Arabidopsis thaliana: one gene and its partners. The protein of the gene in region 1 purifies or fractionates together with the protein of each later gene. This does not show direct contact. Each region holds a gene or a part of one and is shown on either strand. Other genes may lie near its edges.

Region 1 (6,802 bases):
TATTCCTCAGCTTGATCAAATCACCTTCCCCAATGGCTCTGCAGTTCTTGATACAGAGTTCTTCTAAAGTCTCAAGCTTTCCGAAATACTCCAACCACTCTACACTTGCAACGTTTAGGCATCGAATGAGATGAAGTCTCCTGAGTTTCTTGCATCCTACAGCAAGTGACAACACACCACAACCAGTGATCCTGGGAGCGAAATTTAACTTCAACGAAGAAAGCTCTGGACACGACGACAAATGGCCTATGCCAACATCGGTGATGAAGGTGCAGAAGCTCAGAGTGAGATCAGTGAGAGAATGACAGTTTGTGGTCAGGACAAGAAGGCCTTGATCGTCAACTTGTTTGCCAAGTTTTGACATCCAGCCTGAGTATATAATCTCCACTTTGGAAAGATTTGGAAACCTCCTGCAGAGAGAAAGCAATGCATCGGATGCAGGAACTAAACCGCAACCAATCCGCAGAGAGTATCTTTGCTCGTTGTCCAGCGAGAAGAAACGTTTGCATGAGAGTGAAAGCGAGTTTCTGTCATCGGTAGTATGAAGCTTACTGAGAATGTCCCAAACCAAATGGTCTGGCAATTCATCCATTTGTCTATCTGTGTGAACAAAAAAGGATCAAAGCCTAACATGTCAAGTGAAAAGTCCACCTTGAAAACACAAAACAGAGCTTTGATGGAACTCAGAGATTATGCAGAAAAACGAAGGCGTTTGACTTTTTACTTACCACCACCAAGATACGCAATCCCAATGAACATTCAAAAAGCCATGAAAATTTCCAGAAACAAAATTGATAAGATAGAAATAAAAAACAGAGGAAAAACTCATCAGAGATGTCTAAATTGTGAATTAGTTCCCAAGCAGAGATTTAGATTTCTTGAACATAATAATGAATAATCAAGAAATAACAAAAATTCACATCCTTGATTCATCGATTAAACTCAGCTCTAAAAGTAGGCTTGCCATGAAACAGAAATCAGAGGAAAAAGATCTCACCGGAAAGAGCGAAAACTCTTGCGACGTTTGACCACACTCGGCGCCGGATAAGGACTACGGGGGAGATTGAATCTTTTTTGTCTCTCTAATTTTTGGCTTTTTGAGTGATACTCTGACACGTCATTATCTCCACAAGGATATTTATTTCTCAGAAAAAAACATCAACGTTTCAGTTCGATCAAATAAGTCCCTCTAATAATCTCACATTATAAAAATCGCTAATAAAACCGAGACTCTTTGAGTACAAGGTACAACATTTGTTGTTGGAAATGAACTCTTCAAAGTTTCTACAAATATTAAACAGAAGCTGGAACTTGGGAGTCCACTGACTTCAGAACCTCCTCTCCCATCTCCTTGCAGCCCACCAGTTTCTGATCATACCCCATACAAAAAGACAAAAAAATATTACTACTGTTTGTTGTTGCCTGCTTGTTTAAACGTTTCTCAAACACTAACTCGGGACGTTTTTAAGGAAAAGGAAACATGTTATAAGAGTGGTTCAAGAAACATACTGTTCCCGCGGAGTATATGTCTCCAGTTCTGAATCCGTTGTTCAGAGCAACCAACACTGCGTCTTCAATTCTCTTGGCTGCCTTTTCTTCTCCAAGTCCGTATTTCAGAAGCATTGCAGCGCTTAGAATGGTTGCCAATGGGTTTGCCTTATCCTGAAAATTCAAAGAATCAACAAGTTGTGCTCTTTGATTTTGGCATTAAACTAGTTTTGATATCAGGGAACAAAAACCGTGTTTGTTTGAAGGATAGAGTTAGAACCTGTCCAGCAATATCAGGTGCAGAACCATGTATAGGTTCAAAGAGTCCAGGTCCCTGTATTACACATGGCGGGTTTATGTTCAGACTAGATCATACTGCTTGCATACTAAAAGATCATATTATTTTATATCATACCGAATCACTGAGACTAGCAGATGGCAGCATTCCTATGCTTCCTGTGATCATTGAAGCTTCATCGGATAATATATCACCAAAAATGTTGTTTGTGACGATGGTGTCAAACTGCATTTATCAAACAATCAAATAATTGCAAGGATTTACACCTGTCGCACATCAAAGCTGACTAGTTTGGCAAATACAAAGTACACGTACCTGTTTTGGGTCACGAACAAGCTGCATCGCGGCATTGTCAACATACATATGTGACAGCTCAACATCAGGATATTCAGAGGCTAATGCTGTTACTCGTTTCCTCCATAAGATTGAGGCCTGCATATAAAAAAATTCAGTGTTATGTTCGTTCCACAGGAAACAAGAGAGAGGAAAACAAGTCAAAGAAAACATAATTATCAACCGCACTTCCAAAACATTAGCTTTGTCAACAGAACACAGCTTGCCACGCCGTTTCCGAGCAGTCTCGAAGGCAACACGAGCAATTCTATCAATCTGACGAACATACAAAATGCTTTATTAGATTTGACCCTAGTACTTAACAATCAGTCCACGGAAATCTGCATCTGAGATTTTCAATAGAGTACCTCGTGAGCAGCATAAACCTCAGTATTAAACCCAACTTCCTCGCCATTTTCATTGGTCTTTATGCCCCTTGGCTCTCCAAAGTAAATACCTGTTACCATGAGACATGACATTTTATAAGATATTGTCACACGAGAAAGACAAGAATTACGATCAATTTTTAATAAGTAATAAAACTGACCTCCTGTAAGCTCCCTTACAACCATTAGATCAACACCTTCTGCTACCTCTCTCTTTAAGGTGGAAGCATCCACTAACTGTATAAAAACAACAAAATTAGAGTTTCACACAAGAAACAAAGTTCAGGCAACCAAGAAATCTCTGAGGATGGTCACCTGTGGGAGGACTGTAGCAGGTCTCAGATTTGCAAAGACTTTGAGAGCTGCACGAATCTGAAGTAACCCCTTCTCAGGCCTCAGATGTTTTTCATTGTTATCCCATTTGTACCTTAAGTTATTATTATACCAACATGAGAAAATGACTAAATGAGAAACTGTATTTCCCAAAACAATAATTAAGAGCCAACAAGATTAGTGGGAAAAGAGAGAAGACAGACCCTCCAATGGCTCCAAGAAGCACTGCATCTGATTCTTTTGCAGCTGAGATAGTCTCCTCCGGCAAGGGCACTCCGACCAAATCCAAAGCAGCTCCTCCAATGGGCATCTCACGGAAGTTAAATTCCACTCCTGATACAGAGCACAGACGCAATGTATTAGGCAATCTCCGTGGCCTTTGAGCCCAACCCACGATTGTAAATCCCATTCAAAATCTCGCCAATTTCTAATGCTCACATCTTTCAATTCCAAGCAGAAAACAGTAGTCCCCAATTGAAATGAAACAGCAACTAAATTAAATAAGAAAGGGAACAAGAGAGAGAGAGAGAACCTTCCAAAGATCCAGCTTGCTGAAGCACATTTTTGGCAATGGAGACAACCTCCGGACCGATGCCGTCTCCGGGAAGGAGAGTGATGGTGTATCGTTTTTTACCAGGGGAAGCAACAGCACATCTTACTCTAAAGGGTGCCAATGACTGTTTACTTACAGCTCTGAACGTAGCCGGAACCTTGACCGTCCGGATATTCGTCTGCAGAGCCGCCGCCATTTCAGGGAGAAAGGATTGATTGGTCTTTTTCGGATTTTGAAACCGCAAGTCAAATGGATACTACTAGTACACTCAGACTTTACTTCTTTGCATTTATGGGTCCTTTTTTGCACATTGTTTTATTTTCAGAATTGACCCCAAAGTTTTTAATTTTGTAAATGGACACCTTACATTACCACATACAACATATATATATATATATATATATATATATATATATCCATTTATTAGCAGCACCTCACAGAAGAAGGAGGGCTCATCAAATACTTGAAGAGCCGCACGAAGCTGCAACAAGGCCGTTATCGGCTTCAAATGCTTGGGATTGTTATCCCATTTCGGCCTTCAATTCAAAAATCCAAACTTTAGATGAATCCAAACTTGAGATGAACGAAAGTTATGGTAATAATACCATACCATCCAACAGCTCCGAGAAGAAGAGCGTCTGATTGCTTTGCCCTGATCAATGTTTCCTTAGGCAGTGGAACTCCGACAAGATCTAAAGCAACACCTCCTATAGGCAACTCCTCGAAGCTAAAATCTATCCCTGATATCCAAAAACACGATTTCAGTTGGGAAAATCAAATTAAATTAGGCAACAGGATGAGAAAGAAGGAACCTTCAAGAGACCCAGCTAAACAAAGAACGTCAACAGCGACTGGGATCACTTCGTTACCGACGCCATCGCCGGGAAGAACCGCGATGGTGTACCGTTTCTTTGGAGTGTTGGCGGCACATCTGATCACAGAAGCTCTCCTAAAGCTCTGTTTGGTTGCGGACATAAACGCAACCGGAATCTGGGTACTGCTGACGTGGATGACTCCCGCCATTTACTACAACAAAGACTACAAGGAGACCTGGAAAGAACTTTTGTGTTTATAATCAAACCAATATTAACCGTTCGATTATTTATTTTCACCTCTGGATGGCTCAATTATGATGGGCCTAAGAAAGATTCGTAGAAGATAGATCGGCCCAAATGTTCCAAATATTAACACAAGTCCAGCGGGCTTTGGGCCCATAAATGGTATTCGGGTCAGATTTTAAAATGGGTATTCGGGTCAAAATTCGCCCGTTAGATGATGAACCCTAATTTCGTGTGTACAGGGAGCGGAGAGGGGAAACAAGAGAATGCTCTTGTTGCGGCGACTCAATCGAGTTCGGATTGCTTCCCCTTACTCCGTTCGGCTTCTGTCAGTAAAACCTATTTCAAATGTCGATGATGCGAAGTTTCGATCTCAGGAAGAAGAAGATCAGTCCAGTTACGATCAGAAAACAGTATGCGAAGCTCTCACATGTTACAGCAACGATTGGCAAAAGGCGTTGGAGTTTTTCAACTGGGTCGAGAGAGAATCCGGATTCAGACATACCACCGAGACATTCAATCGGGTGATCGATATTCTGGGTAAGTATTTCGAGTTTGAAATTTCTTGGGCTTTGATTAACCGCATGATCGGAAACACGGAATCTGTGCCGAATCACGTCACGTTTCGTATAGTCTTTAAGCGTTATGTGACGGCTCATCTTGTTCAGGAGGCTATTGATGCGTATGATAAATTGGATGATTTCAATTTGAGAGATGAAACATCATTTTATAATCTGGTCGATGCGCTTTGCGAGCATAAACATGTGGTTGAAGCTGAAGAGCTTTGTTTTGGGAAGAATGTCATTGGTAATGGTTTTAGTGTGAGTAATACTAAGATTCATAATCTGATTCTTCGTGGGTGGTCGAAATTGGGATGGTGGGGTAAATGCAAGGAGTATTGGAAGAAGATGGATACTGAAGGTGTTACTAAGGATCTTTTTTCGTATTCCATTTACATGGATATCATGTGCAAGAGCGGGAAACCGTGGAAAGCTGTGAAGTTGTATAAGGAAATGAAGAGTAGAAGGATGAAACTCGATGTGGTTGCTTATAACACTGTGATTCGAGCCATTGGAGCGTCGCAAGGTGTTGAATTCGGTATCAGGGTATTTCGGGAGATGAGGGAAAGAGGTTGTGAACCTAATGTTGCGACTCATAACACAATCATTAAGCTTCTATGTGAAGACGGGAGGATGAGAGACGCGTATCGGATGCTTGATGAGATGCCTAAGAGAGGTTGTCAACCCGATTCGATTACTTACATGTGTCTCTTTTCCCGTTTGGAGAAACCGAGTGAGATCCTAAGTCTGTTTGGTAGGATGATAAGGAGTGGAGTGAGGCCAAAGATGGATACTTATGTGATGCTAATGAGGAAGTTTGAGAGATGGGGATTTCTTCAGCCGGTATTATATGTGTGGAAGACAATGAAAGAGTCTGGGGATACTCCTGATTCAGCGGCGTATAATGCTGTGATTGATGCGTTGATTCAGAAAGGAATGTTGGATATGGCTAGGGAATATGAGGAGGAAATGATCGAAAGAGGGCTATCTCCAAGGAGAAGGCCTGAGTTGGTAGAAAAGTCCTTGGACGAAACGCTTGTCTGTAGAGAATAGATAACTAGATATGAAGAAACTCTTTGGTTATGTGTTCAAAACAGACATGAAGCAATAGAGAAGCGTCCTTTTGGATGGAGAAATCTCCCCAAGGTATATCATCTTTGCCATAAAGTGGCTTTGTTTCAACTCAAAACCGAGGAGAAAACACTGAGGTTCATTGAGAAATCTGGTTGAGTTGTGTGTCTTAAGCCAAATTCCGAAGATTTGGTTTTGAAAGATGGTTTGTCGCCTCCTATATGTGTTCTACTACATATACGTACCATTTGTAATTCACTCTCTAACTTAATTTTTTTTTGTTGTTGTTCCACTCTGTGACAACCACAGGCATTTTGTGGCTATTTTGTAAGATCGTTAAGCTCAATAAAACACCCTACAGAAACGATGGATGATCCATCATGGATCACATTCTTAAAACCATTGGAGAATATGGCGTTATTATTGTAATTTGAAAAAAATTCAACTAAAGAATACGACTTTTAATCTTAGCTTACTTTTGTAAAGATTATGCAGACATGACGTAACAATTTTCTAAAAAAAATCTTAGTTACAACATTTTTCTTTAGAAAATGCCATGACAGAGCAAAAGCAGGAAAAGTTGGTACCAGATGATCATAAATGCAATTTTCCGTTACAAAATTAGAGTAGCTCTCATGTCAGTATTGGTGGTAATTAATGCCATTCTCCGTTTCTTTTTCTAATCTCCGAGTCGACCCTGAGTATAAAGTATTTTTACCAAT
Region 2 (6,802 bases), on another chromosome or scaffold:
TGAGTAACTAATATTCAGTTTTTTTTTGGACGCAGGCCAACGTTCTATAGGATTTGGAAGAAGAAGACAACAGAAGGGTTTCAGTCTATTCCTTATGTTGTGGCGCTCTTCAGTGCGACGCTTTGGCTTTACTATGCGACACAGAAGAAAGATGTCTTCCTCCTCGTAACCATTAACGCCTTTGGTTGCTTCATCGAAACCATCTACATCTCTATGTTCCTTGCCTACGCTCCCAAGCCAGCTCGGGTAACTAATAATTAATCCTCAGTTCATATGACATGCATGTTACGTTGTTCATAACATTATTCAAATGAAGTTGCTAAATAAAACATTTCTTAATGGATGCAGATGTTGACAGTGAAGATGCTACTTCTTATGAACTTTGGAGGATTCTGTGCGATTCTCCTTCTTTGCCAATTCTTGGTAAAAGGAGCCACACGTGCTAAGATTATCGGAGGAATCTGTGTCGGATTCTCTGTTTGTGTTTTCGCTGCTCCTCTAAGCATAATCGTAAGTACTACGAAATAGCTAATTTACCAAGTGATTAAATTATGATTTGGTAACAATAATAATTAACATATATATTTTTGTTTAATTATATATAGAGGACGGTAATAAAGACAAGAAGTGTGGAGTACATGCCCTTTAGCTTATCCTTAACCCTTACCATCAGTGCTGTCATATGGCTCCTTTATGGTCTTGCTCTCAAGGACATCTATGTTGCTGTAAGCCATTTCATCTCTCTCTATTTGCTATAATGAATATATATGTTTTAACATGATTATCATGTCGTCAAGCATCATAATCATATGTCTATCATTATCATAACAGTATATTACATGAAGTGGGTGCTTTTGTTTCTAATGAACCTGAGACTTTGAGGTTCTAATCATAGATTCATAGATAAAAAGAGATATGGATTGGCAAAAGATAAAAAAAACGATTAATGAAAGCAAAACCTTTTGTTTGGTATCGTCCTTTACGATAAAAATAAACCAAATTATAAAGAAACTCTCGCTTTATGTTCCACAGAAACATTAAAAGATTTAGCTTTTGCAAAAGAAGTTCATAATATATTAAGTTCTTTTTATCTTTATTGTTACATAGAAATTATATTTTGTACGTAACTTCTATCGATGCCGCACAAGTTTGCCATAAACTTTACTTTATTTCGTTTTTAACGTACTTTATTCACAAGCTAGAAAGTGGAAAAGTGAGTATATTAAAATGTTATTATGTTATTGCCACTACAACAAATGTTTTTCGTGCAGTTCCCGAATGTGCTTGGTTTTGCTCTCGGTGCACTCCAAATGATACTCTACGTTGTCTACAAATACTGTAAAACGTCGCCGCATCTAGGAGAGAAAGAAGTCGAAGCTGCTAAGTTACCGGAGGTGAGCCTCGATATGTTGAAGCTAGGCACAGTTTCATCCCCTGAGCCAATCTCAGTGGTTCGTCAAGCGAACAAGTGTACCTGCGGAAATGATCGAAGGGCTGAGATTGAAGATGGACAAACCCCTAAACATGGCAAGCAGTCCTCTTCCGCAGCAGCTACATGAATAAAAATACGTTAATGTTGACTTTACCCCAACTTGATATACCAACCACCACGTGTACCCCGTTACGCTGTCGTATTTTTCTGAGTTTATCAAGTGTGCGAAGTAGAGGATTAATTTTCCGGAGTTAGTTTCTCTACTTCTTTATAAAAATTTGTGTAATTATCTATTGGGGATAATGTATATTTCCTATTTTCTGATTTAACGAAAACTATTTAAAATATCCATCATGATTCTGTCTTTTTTTTTTTTGGTCATACTTAATGTTTTCTGTTTATTTTAAGGACATAATATTAATAATATACGATAAAGTTTTCTAATTATGAAAGATAATATTTGACTTGAGAATTAACGTGGTCACATTACTCTTCGGATATAACCAAAAAAAACAAAAAATAGAAAAATTTAAAAAATGTTTCAATACAGAAAATATTGGCATTATCAATCATAAATTCTTTTAACAAAAAATATCAATTATAAATTTTGATTGGCCTAAGTCAAGGAGTATTCATATTTTTAAATAAATAAAAAGGAATATTTTGTATGGACTGAGTGGGCCAAGTCTTTGTCTAAGGCAAGTAATATTGGATCACTTCCTTACTGGGCCTTTCCAATTTCAAATAATTCCAACTCAATTGTGTCCGAATTAGAAAGAAAGTTCGAATCAGCTTGGTCTCCAAAACATCTTCACATAATCATCAGGATGTTTCTTGTTCATTCTTTAAGACAATGAAAAGCAGCTCGGTCGGTTGGATTGAACAAACTACAGCTAGAAGCAAAGATGTGAAGAAAGAAAAATGCAACTAAACATATGAAAGACGTAACCTTGGGAAGTAGGAGACTAGTGAAACTTTCTCGTTGGATGGACTGTGTATCCACTTTCTAGGTCGTCTTAGGTCGGACAAAGACATAAATGGGCAAGGGAATCTATAGAAATGTGAAGAAAACTGAATATGGAAGCTTAACTTTGCAGATGCACTTCCCTTGTTCCGTGGAGAAATATATCGTCTTATGACTCAGATTATGATGTTGGCTACATGATGAAAAAGTGTGTTGCAATAGAAATCATTCTGTGTGATTTGTAAGACGTTAACGCAAAGCAAGAACTCTTTTTAAAAAGTCAACAAATCTTCATAGACATTTTGACTTTTCTTACCACAGTTAAATTTTGTGAGATTGCTTGCTTGCTCTCAATTGAATCTAATTTTCTCTACATCAAAAAATTTCAAATACATTCATGGTTCCCTGGAAGCTTCCAGAGACATTTTAGAGCCGACTTAGAACCTTCTCGGCCGCTGCGATAGTGAATTGGATGTCTTCTGAAGTGTGAGCCAAGCTAGTAAAACCGGCCTCGAATTGAGAAGGTGCCAAGTAGACACCTTCTTCCAACATTCCTCTGAAAAACTTTCCAAACTTCTCTGTATCACTCTTCTTTGCATCCGAGAAATCATAGACGGGTCCTTCCGTGAAGAAGAAACCGAACATCCCGCTTATGTAACCGCCACACATCGCATGCCCGGTTTTCTTCCCGGCTTCTAGTATCCCATTTGTAAGCTCTTTTGTGATCTTGTCTAAGTATTCATATGTCCCTGGCTGACTTAACCGCTTCAGCGTGTGTATACCCGCTGTCATAGCCAACGGATTACCACTTAGCGTACCAGCTTGATACATCGGTCCTGCGGGTGCAACCTGCAAAAAGACATGAGTGATAAAGGATCAGGACTTTCTCAATCTCTTGCAGCAAATTCAAAAGATTATTCGGTTCAATTGTTAACAACTCTAGCTTTACCATTTCCATGATGTCTCTTCTTCCACCGTATGCTCCCACAGGAAGACCACCACCGATGATTTTCCCAAGAGTTGTTAAGTCAGGTGTGATTCCAAAGTATTCTTGAGCTCCACCATAGGCTAAACGAAAACCAGTCATGACTTCATCGAAAATAAGAAGAGCACCATTGTCTTTAGTGATCCGGCGTATTCCCTCAATGAACTCTGGTTTAGGTGTAATAAAACCCGAGTTACCAACAACAGGTTCAAGAATGATGGCAGCAATCTCTCCTTTGTTTGCCTCAAAAAGCTTCTCAACAGCAGCAATATCATTGTATGGAGCTGTTAAAGTATCTGAAGTAGCTGCTTTGGGGACCCCAGGCGAGTCAGGTAGACCCAAAGTAGCTACACCACTACCTGCTTTGACAAGGAAAGAGTTTGCATGACCATGATAACAACCTTCAAACTTGATGAACTTTTGTTTCCCTGTGAAGGCACGAGCAAGACGTAGCACACCCATACATGCCTCTGTACCGGAGTTAACAAACCGAACCATTTCAATACTTGGAACAGCTGAAATCACCATCTCAGCAAGAACATTCTCTAAGAGACAAGGAGCACCAAAGCTTGTTCCTTTCTTCATTGTCTCAGCCAAAGCAGCAAGAACCTGCACTAGACACATCACCGTATCAACTACTAAACTTTCAGCTATCTAAAAATCATCAAAACTGGAAAGAAACAAACCTCATCATCAGCATGACCAATTATAGCAGGTCCCCAAGATCCAACATAGTCAATGTATTCATTTCCATCAATGTCTCTTATTCGTGAGCCCTTTGCAGAATCCATCACCACTGGTTGTCCACCAACAGATTTGAAAGCACGTACAGGTGAGTTCACACCTCCAGGCATTAAGTTCTACACAAAGGAACCAAACCAATTTCAATAATCAGAACAGAATGAAACCAATAAAAACAAAAACTTTATCTCAGATTATGATTCTATCTCAAGTAATCTTATTTTGTTAGCAATGTTCCTTGAAGGGTAACAAAGATAATCACTTTAACCAAAAATATGATCAAATCCCACAAAACCAAAGCAACAGAACATCAAGGCGTAATCAATCTGAAGAAACATTTCTTATTGACTGAATTCATGGAAATTGAAAAGCCTAACCTTCGCAGCATTGAAAGCTTCCTCAGATTTCTGAAGAGTGAATTTCTTCGTCTTCTCCTCTACCGAAACCGACATCTTGATGCAGCGACGGTTGGACGACGAAGAAGCTCTCTTAGAGAACTTTGCGGAGCACGAAAACCCTAGAGCAATCCCTGATCCAGTAAGCGTCGCAGCCATTTTGCTATATCTCTACGTTTCTCTGTTACTCTCTCACTTGCGCTCGTAAGTAGTACAGAGATAGTCAACAAGATAAGGCGGAGATGATCTTCAGATTTTAGATGGAGCCGACCCGGTGGTTTAAATTCAGACCCGATCCGGTTTGATTTTACTGGAATCTGAAACTCAAGTCAATATTTGTTTGTTTGACTTTGTTAACCAATCCGGTTTCTTTGACCCGATCCGGTCCGATAACTTAATTTGACATATATATATTTTCTGCGAATTACATAAATTTTTGTAATGGATACAAACGTGAATTCAAATATAACATGTATAAATAATGACTAGATTATAATTTTCCTTTGCTTATAATTTGGTAGAATATATCATAATTTGATTATGAAAATGTATGTTCTTTTTCAGATCTTCATAAGCTCTTCAAACACTTCCATAGCTGAAGTAGGAAGGCCAAGAAACACATTGATACTCTTCATATCATCACCACTTGGTAAGAACAAGATCACTTCCCTCCCTGGTAAACCAACCGGTCCAGAGAAAACCGGTTCTCCCCAACCGAAATCCAGTTTATGCAATGTCAATTTTGACCAGGATGTAATCAAAAGTGTCGCGTTCATACTCGGCCGTGTCCGGTTCACCTCGAAGTAGTCCATAGCCGACCGCATGAAGCCGTCCGTAACCAGCTCCACCAGTCTCTTGACCAAACCCACCGAGTGAGAAAGAGGGTTCCCAACTAATTCTCCCGATGATGTCACCAAACCGGTTAACACAATCCCGTTCCCGCAATATCCTTGCGGGAGACGTGGGATGAATCTTGACCGTCCATCCGCCGCAAACAGAAGCTTAACCCGTTGGTCCGGTTTAAACCGTAGAGCTTCGCATCTTGATTTCCAAAGAAACCCGGTTAAGGCTTGAAATGTTGATACCTTATTATTGTTATTTTCTTCAATCGCCATGATCTTGAGCTTCTCAAGCTTTTCGGGTTCGAAAAGAAATGATTTGTAGATGAGTTTTTCTTCATCGTAGATTTTTCCGGTGTCGGAAATATCTTCAATTTCGTCGAATTCATTGTGTGGGAACTCGATTTTGGGAGGGTTTCGTGACCGGAGAATCGTACGGTCCAAGAATGGTGGGACGGATAAAGGAAGACCCTTGGCCATCTCGCACCACGAGTTGAGGAACTCCGCAGCGGCGACTCCATCGAACATGTTGTGGCTCATGCCTAGTCCTAGGACAAAACCCCCACATTTGAAATTTGTCACCTGAAAAAAAAAACGGAACATAAAACTTTATCTAAAGATGTTAAAAAAAATCCATGCAACATTTTAGAATGAATCGATACCAATTTAAAGAAATAGGAATGAAATAATATACATTTAACTTAAGTACTACCTATTGGTTACACACACAAAAAAAAAAAACTTACTATTGATCGTCGTTATTTCTTTTGGTTACTTAACAATACTAATTACGCATGGTTCTAATTAGATGGTCTAATGTACCTTAAAGTTTGAACATGATGACCACTCTAGTTTTTAAGAGTAACGTCTGATCATTTGTTACTATATTAGTGTGTGTTCGTTACTACATGCATGAGACATAAAAATGATTTTTTTAGTAACATTGTATCATAATTCATAAATGATATTCGGGAAAAATGTCTTTCAAATTTGGGACGATTTAATTTTGAACTTCACGGAAGATAAATAAATCGTAAAGTTTTTGTTGACTTTCGAAATAAATGACAAAGTGTTTGTTGACTTGCCATTTGAGTCATGTCGTTAAATAGGTTAACAGAAAAAATTTACGGCGTTAATGTCTCGTTTATTTGCTCTGTTAGAACAAAACAACGTCGTTTATTGCAGAGACAAAACATCGTCGTTTTGTCTTGAAACAAATTTAAACCCTAAATCCCCAAATCGATTTCATTATCTCAAAATCACAGACCCACCTTGACCTCAAAATCGCAGATAATAAATCGATTTGGGGATTTAGGGTTTAAATTTGTTTCAACAAACAAAACGACGTTCCTTTGTCTCTGCAATAAACGATGTCGTTTTGTTCTAACAGAGCAGATACACGAGATATTAACGCCGTAAAATAATTCTGTTAACCTATTTAACGAC
Region 3 (6,802 bases), about 12 Mb from region 1:
ATCTATCACCAAAACAGTATATAGACTAAAAGAAAGCTTACCATTTAACCCAGCAGTTACAAGCATATTTGGATAATTCTGCGCCGTTACCTGTGTTATATTGTCCATAGATGCATCATCACAGAGAACTTTCATACCATTTATCGCAGATAATATGAAAAGAACCCAAACATATACTCACATTGTCTACAGGGGAATATGACTTCATATAGAAGTAAAATTCTTCCTTTCTGGGGTCACCCCACTCCTGAAGCCAAAAATTAGACAACTTTTAAGCACTTTTTTAATTATCATACAAAATCAAACTACAGCTACTTCATTCATAAGGAAATCTATCCATCCTTATGCTTTCCCAGTTCCTAATGCAAATCCCTATGAAGACATGCCAGATGTTGTACTCTGTAAAGTAAGAATAATATATGTAATTCGCTGTTTTAAGGCACAGAACAAGCATCAAACACACCTCCCACTCTGATGTCGTAAGCGGAATTGTTGGGTCCAGCATTGTTGTCAAGACATCTACAAAAGGAACTCCAGCGATAACCACCTTGAACAAGTCAGGCCTCATATTAACAACAGCACCCATCAGCAATCCACCAGCACTTCTCCCTTCCATGCACAGTTTTTCTTTCGAGCAATATTTTAGTTCTATTAAACGCTCAGCACAAGCAATAAAATCAGTGAATGTGTTTTTCTTCTTCAACAGCTTCCCATTCTCATACCACTGTCTCCCCATCTCACCGCCCCCACGAACATGAGCAATTACAAAGGTAAACCCACGATCTAACAGGGACAACCTTGATGCCTTGAAATAAGGATCCACAGAAATCTGTAATAAAGATAAAGAGTATTTTATAGTTCCGTTGGAAAGAAGTAAAAGGACCGAGAATCTGGGAACCATAAAAGCTTCAACTAAAAATACCTCATATGAACCATATCCATAAAGGAGTAATGGATCAGATCCATCAAGCTTTGCAAGTTTTTTGTTATACACAATAGACATTGGAATTTGAGTTCCGTCTGATGCAGCGACCCACTTTCTTTCTGTAACATAATTTGATGCATCAAAACCTCCCAATACCTGAATGAAATACAGCAGGCTATCATAAAGATCAAGCGATGACCATTTCAAAAGAGAAGGCATGTTAGGGAAAAATGCGTAAAAACACAGTACCAGTAAAAAAAAACTAAAATTTTTCATAATTTTCATGTGTTGTATTTCAAAATTGTCAATACGACTTATTACCATTCAATGAAATACGCTTATGCATTGCAAATAAAATCGGCAACTAAATATGCAGAGGACATAGGAAATTGATCCAAAGTGAGGGAGAACGAATGAATAAGTAGTTTTACTTACTGTGTCAATCTTCTTGACAACGGAAGTGCCACTGTCCATGTCATAGTCATACACAGAAGGAGGTGTTTTCATTGAGCAGTATTTAAACCTTAAAACCCTGGACGAAAATTCGGACTCGGTTGAGTCAACTGAATAGACCGGGTCAACAAAGCTCACATTACGACCACCTTGGAGACCTTCCAGTGGCTGTCCCTCAGCAGGAAGCCTATGAACTGTGATCTTCTGCAGTCCGTTTTCACGCTCGAAGACTGCAAGATGATCTCGGAAAAGCTGAATTTCCTGAATCTTTACACTGTCCATGCAAATATAATTGTTTAGCTAGGCATACAAGGTGACCTTGATGTTAAATGCATTATAAAACTAATCTAGCAACTGGAAAACAACCCAGCATGCATGTCGTCTAAGCCGAAGGATATACATGATATTAAAATTAGTTATACTTCATTTGGATTTTGGATAGGCCACAATGGCAACCAGATTCTAACAAAAAAAGTTTACCTTTCTCTATGTGGAAGCAGAACAGTTGTCTTTGATGTGTCATCAACTGGACAGGCGATCAGTTCTGAGTTGTAAAATTCAGTGCTCCTTCTCTGGATGAAAAAGTGGTTCCCACGATGACTGACAGATGAATCAATTCCATCTACACGAGGTGTCAACACCCTGAGTCCATCCTGAGTCTTGGACACATCAAGCGAGAAGACAAATCTTGTAGTTTTGCTTTCAGATGCAACAAATAAATACTTATGGCTCTCAGAAGCGTGGAGTTCAAGAGAAAACATATCATCCTTCTCATGGTAAAGGCATACATCACTGCTCTGCTCTGTCCCTAATTTATGTAACCAAACCTGTTACAAAGAATATATGAAGATCAGAACATGAAAGCCAAAAATATTGACGTATCTCATAATAAGTACAGTCAAATTTGGTAAGAAAATATGGCATCTATGAGGTGTATAATGTCAACAATTGATCGAAACGGTAAAATCTATATTCATGCAAAAGTTAATCCCTTCCTCCAGTACTATACACTAAGACAGTAGGGTGGGAAAAGATTGAAGGTAAACCTTATCAGGTCGCAGGATTTCGTCCATTGTTATGTAGAGCAAAGCATCATTACCAGCCCATTCAAGATAAGAAGTAAGTCCTTTAAGCTGTTGCCCCACTGGTTTTAGGGCTTCAGAGTCGATGACATTCACTGTATATATCTCATCACCTTTTGTGTCCTCTGCATATGCCACCAATTTATGATCGGGACTCGCCTATAAAAAGAATCAAGAAAATGAAACATCAAGTTAGTAAAGAGCAAGTTTGAAAAGGATATCTCTTAGGACGATTTTTAAAGTCTATTTTCTAGTCAAACCTTGAAGGCCCCAATTCTGTAGTAGTCATGCTCTTGAGCCTTGGTATTCTCATCCAATATCACATGCTCAGGAGGAGCATCTGGACCAGTTGGCATAGTATCATAGACAGAAGGCTCAGCTTTGTTGTCAGTGATCAAACGTCTACAGTGCTGAATATATTCCTTTCCTTGAAGATTTTTCTCATAATAATAGTAAGGACCCTTGCGTAGAGGTGCAGATATATCATCTTCTTTGATCCTCCCTCTTATTTCAGCAAACAGCTGATTCTCAAATTGCTTGGTCCCTGAATTTTTATTTTCCAGTCTAATTTATCACAAGCTTGCATAATCAACAAGTCACTAATACTCCAAATTGAAAACAAGGAAAGCTAAAAACCCTAATCCCCTAAGTATCACAACGTCACTGACAGAGGCAACTTGAAAAGACTCACCAGACATGACGAAATCAGTGTAGTGATTTTCTTCACGAAGATAAGAAAGCATGTCGGGATTGGTGCGAGAATCGTCACGGAGCCAGTAGTAATTGTCAACCCTAACGTCACCGAACATCTCCATCACATGCTCCACCTTCTTCGCTACAGGAGGGGATCTCGATTCCGCCATGTCTCTCGGTGATGTCAACCGCACTGACGCAGCTCCGGTTTCAGAGGAAGAGGAAAAAGAAGAAGACAGCCGTAGAATAGAGCGGCGGCGAGGAACAAGAGGAACGAGGCAAGAGAGAGGAGTATCGAAGTGGAGAAGACGACTACGAGTCGCGAGAAAGTGAGTGCCGAGAGATACGAGTCCACGCCTTATTATCATATTACGTGTCCGTTTTAGTTGCCTAGAGACTCGCGACCAGTTTGTTAATAGAGGACAGGTCATATCCGGTTTGGATAAACCGGCCTATCTATGATTCCGGTTACAAAATTATTAACTCTTTCGTGAATTTTTGCTAGGATTATTGAACAAAACCAAATAATTAGATTAGAAACAAATTACTGTTGAATGTTGATTAATGGTCTTCTATGTTCTTGTAGTGGACTATTTTTGAGCTTGATGAATTTTATAAGCCTGAGATTAACCCAGAACCTAATCAAACCGTGCTAAACTGCAAATAAGCTGAGATGATAAAAATTGGTCTTGCTTACAGAACAAAGATGAAACAAAACAAGAAAGAAAGCACGTATAATAATAACATCCAGAAGAGGTTCAGGTTAAAGTGCATCAAAACCACTAAAATTACCAAAGTGACATTCACTTTCACAAGAAAATGTTTCCAAAATGGAAAAAGGAAAAAAAAAACAATGGAAGTGTAAACAACATCAGAAGATATACCTTGAAAGAACATAAGCCAATGGCAATCATGATAATGGCTAACTTGATAAGAGCAATACGAGACTAATAATGATGTAGGATCATCATCATGAATCACAGGAAATAAGGAACACCTGTCCTTGGCCCTCTCATTTGATTGTTCTCTTCTGTCTCCGTGAAGAACTTCACTTCCCTTTCCTGGTAATTAAGCATATTTTAACAAATCATTACTGTCAGTGAGGACCAGATCCTAAACACTTCCCAGAAACAGGTCTATATATGAAAAGTAACACACAGAGCACAATCAATATGGACAGACTGATTCCACGCGAACTGTGAATTGTTACTAAATAAATGGCTTAAACATCATAACTCTATCTCACAAGAGTCACTCATGTGTATATGTTTGGGTCGAGAGACAAGTATCAAAGGCAGTAACTTATTTAATCAAAAAGGAAAAGTAGAATCCGAAGACGAGTGCATAAAAGTAAGAAGAACATGAAACAAGATATTGTGGCAGATCAGTAACAAAAGAGAAAACAAATGCCTCACCATGTTGTCATTGAAACTCAATATAGAAGCCACATTCCCACAACGGTAGCAGTAATTAGGCGCAGACCACACCTTTACAAAAAAAATAAAGAGAAGAAACATCACCAAGCAGATTATACTTCCAACTATCCAAAATGATCATAAGGAAGCAAGGCACTTACAGTTACAAGACCTTTATCTTGGAACATGTACTTGAGACCTTCTTGTACAAGCTGGTGAGCGCGACATACTAGATCAAGATTGTTAATATGGTTAAACTGCACAAGAAGCAAAACCACAGATCAGGGAACTGAAATACATTTATTTCTTTTCACACCTTATTCAAATTTCAACCCCAGAAAAAAATATAAATACCTCAGTGGTAACCCTGGACCCGAAAAGCCAACCAGCTCCACGTGGACTGACAGCCCATGTTTCAATATCTTCAGGATCACTCCACATAAGATCACAGAAGGGTCCTTCATGCGGTATTTCGCAATTCCGCTCAATCAATCTTATCTAGAGAACAAAATAACATCTAAATGAGTAAATGAGATTTAATCTAATCATAAATAACACTTGCATGGTGAAAACCAAAAGTAATTTAAAATAGCACATTTTAACCTGGTCAATTGTCCGTACATCAGGTGAAAGGCCACCATGAACACATAGAACCTACATTGAGGATGCAATACGTTTTAATATGGTATACAGCTAACTTATGCATTCATAAAATTATACAAGAACACATCATAACACAATGCCAAAGAAGCTGAGAAATACTTACAGTGCCATCTATAATAGCTGAAAGTGTAAGATAGTCAAAAACATCCGTGCAATATCTCCAAGCATTAGCATTACCATACTTCCTTTGGCATTCGTCATAGAAACCATACACCTAGCAAATATAAAATTGGTACGACAATTTAAGAAAACTATAAAAATGAACCTGCAGGGCACAAAATATCACTACAATCTTCGTCCTTGACAGTGGATGTTAAAAGATATAGGATATGGTGTAGGATAGAGATAAATCAAGAGCTTCCGAGAAGAAAACTTATGGTTGCAAAGGGTTCACATAAAATGCATCTTAGTTAACATCTATGCCTATATCTAGCATGGCATTGCCACATGTACAAAATAAACTTTCAAAACTAGTTATAACAATTGAGCGAAAATTACTTCTCAACCAGTAACTGCGTGAAGAGCACAGCAAGTCAGCAACAATAGATATAAATGGATTAGAATAATGCATACCTGAGTTAGCTGTCTACTTTCATGATTTCCACGCAAAAGAGTGATATTGGCTGGATGTCTACATATTGAAATACAAGGAAACGAGTGATTTTAAGCTCACAGCAAAGTAAGTTAGAATATAAATTTCCTGGAATACAAGTTAAATCGATTTTCCAGTAGAGCAATGCGTTTACAGCTTAAAGAGCATTCTCAAGAGAACTATGATATACAGTGTGAAACGGAAGGATGACGATCCATGACATATATAACGCACAATTTCTACGGAAAATCTTACCTTGCTTTAAGAAGCAAAAGAATGGTGAAAACTTCAAGACTGTTGTAACCTCTATCAACGAAATCCCCCTGAGAAAATCCCCCACAGATAATTAAACTATGTGTTACATATTGATATGTCATACGAGCCTACGCCCAAAGTCAGAGTCTATACCATAAATATGTAATTGGTCTCGGGAACATGACCTCCGGTCTGGAAAAGTTTCATAAGATCATGAAACTGGCCATGGATATCACCACAGACGGTGACAGGACTGTTGACAGGTTGTACATTTGATTCCTCAATAAGAATTTCTTTCACCTATATAATAGTCAAAATATCTTGTGAATTACCAGAGTATCTTAGCAAATCATTGTCATGAAAAAAGAAGAAGACGGCTGCTACTACAAGTTTCAACACTAAAATTACTATAATAAATCCTCAAATAACAGTTTGCAAGCGTGGACTTGGTGCATCCATAAATTGGCTAAAGAAGAGCTAAACTTATCCCTAATTCCTTAGAATTTAGAATTGAAATAGCAAAGTCAATAAATCCTCTATTGGAAAAATGAGAGAAAAACCCTAAAATCCGTAGACCAAAATGGCAAAGGAAACAGTAAGGGAGAGAGACCAGATTCAAAGTAAAGTGCCACAAAGCAAGCTCTAAAGTCTCAAAAGAGTAAGCGAAGAATTGGGTTTTTGTAGATGCATGAATATTCGGGGAAGAGAAAGCAAGCAAGAGAAG

The links.
Region 2: the proteins of IMD2 (region 1) and GSA2 fractionate together in Arabidopsis thaliana (co-fractionation; one large-scale study listed by BioGRID). This does not show direct contact.
Region 3: the proteins of IMD2 (region 1) and AT1G50380 fractionate together in Arabidopsis thaliana (co-fractionation; one large-scale study listed by BioGRID). This does not show direct contact.

The regions. Positions count from the first base shown.
Region 1 is NC_003070.9:30,284,618-30,291,419, reverse strand, and holds IMD2 (isopropylmalate dehydrogenase 2), read right to left. Parts: upstream 3,658-6,802; 5' UTR 3,588-3,657; coding exon 3,371-3,587; intron 3,172-3,370; coding exon 3,042-3,171; intron 2,933-3,041; coding exon 2,821-2,932; intron 2,743-2,820; coding exon 2,667-2,742; intron 2,577-2,666; coding exon 2,488-2,576; intron 2,396-2,487; coding exon 2,309-2,395; intron 2,219-2,308; coding exon 2,102-2,218; intron 2,012-2,101; coding exon 1,904-2,011; intron 1,823-1,903; coding exon 1,769-1,822; intron 1,663-1,768; coding exon 1,510-1,662; intron 1,369-1,509; coding exon 1,294-1,368; 3' UTR 1,121-1,293; downstream 1-1,120. Other genes in the region: AT1G80570 (RNI-like superfamily protein), read right to left, coding at 1-600, 729-759; AT1G80555 (Isocitrate/isopropylmalate dehydrogenase family protein), read right to left, coding at 3,681-3,927, 4,002-4,131, 4,204-4,414; AT1G80550 (Pentatricopeptide repeat (PPR) superfamily protein), read left to right, coding at 4,716-6,062. UniProt on the Arabidopsis thaliana protein: Involved in leucine biosynthesis; catalyzes the oxidative decarboxylation step in leucine biosynthesis (primary metabolism). Catalyzes the oxidation of 3-carboxy-2-hydroxy-4-methylpentanoate (3-isopropylmalate, 3-IPM) to 3-carboxy-4-methyl-2-oxopentanoate.
Region 2 is NC_003074.8:18,047,571-18,054,372, reverse strand, and holds GSA2 (glutamate-1-semialdehyde 2,1-aminomutase 2), read right to left. Parts: upstream 4,803-6,802; 5' UTR 4,677-4,802; coding exon 4,500-4,676; intron 4,242-4,499; coding exon 4,068-4,241; intron 3,991-4,067; coding exon 3,346-3,990; intron 3,246-3,345; coding exon 2,823-3,245; 3' UTR 2,595-2,822; downstream 1-2,594. Other genes in the region: SWEET11 (Nodulin MtN3 family protein), read left to right, coding at 36-246, 349-510, 606-725, 1,272-1,559; DCF (HXXXD-type acyl-transferase family protein), read right to left, coding at 5,078-5,938. UniProt on the Arabidopsis thaliana protein: Transaminase converting glutamate 1-semialdehyde (GSA) to 5-aminolevulinate (ALA). Involved in the biosynthesis of tetrapyrroles.
Region 3 is NC_003070.9:18,659,001-18,665,802, reverse strand, and holds the start of AT1G50380 (Prolyl oligopeptidase family protein), read right to left. Parts: upstream 3,538-6,802; 5' UTR 3,522-3,537; coding exon 3,152-3,521; intron 3,005-3,151; coding exon 2,721-3,004; intron 2,620-2,720; coding exon 2,425-2,619; intron 2,206-2,424; coding exon 1,859-2,205; intron 1,653-1,858; coding exon 1,361-1,652; intron 1,082-1,360; coding exon 923-1,081; intron 830-922; coding exon 464-829; intron 248-463; coding exon 182-247; intron 91-181; coding exon 42-90; intron 1-41. Other genes in the region: FYPP1 (Calcineurin-like metallo-phosphoesterase superfamily protein), read right to left, coding at 4,131-4,214, 4,569-4,640, 4,730-4,825, 4,923-5,066, 5,172-5,222, 5,335-5,445, 5,805-5,862, 6,079-6,146 and 1 more.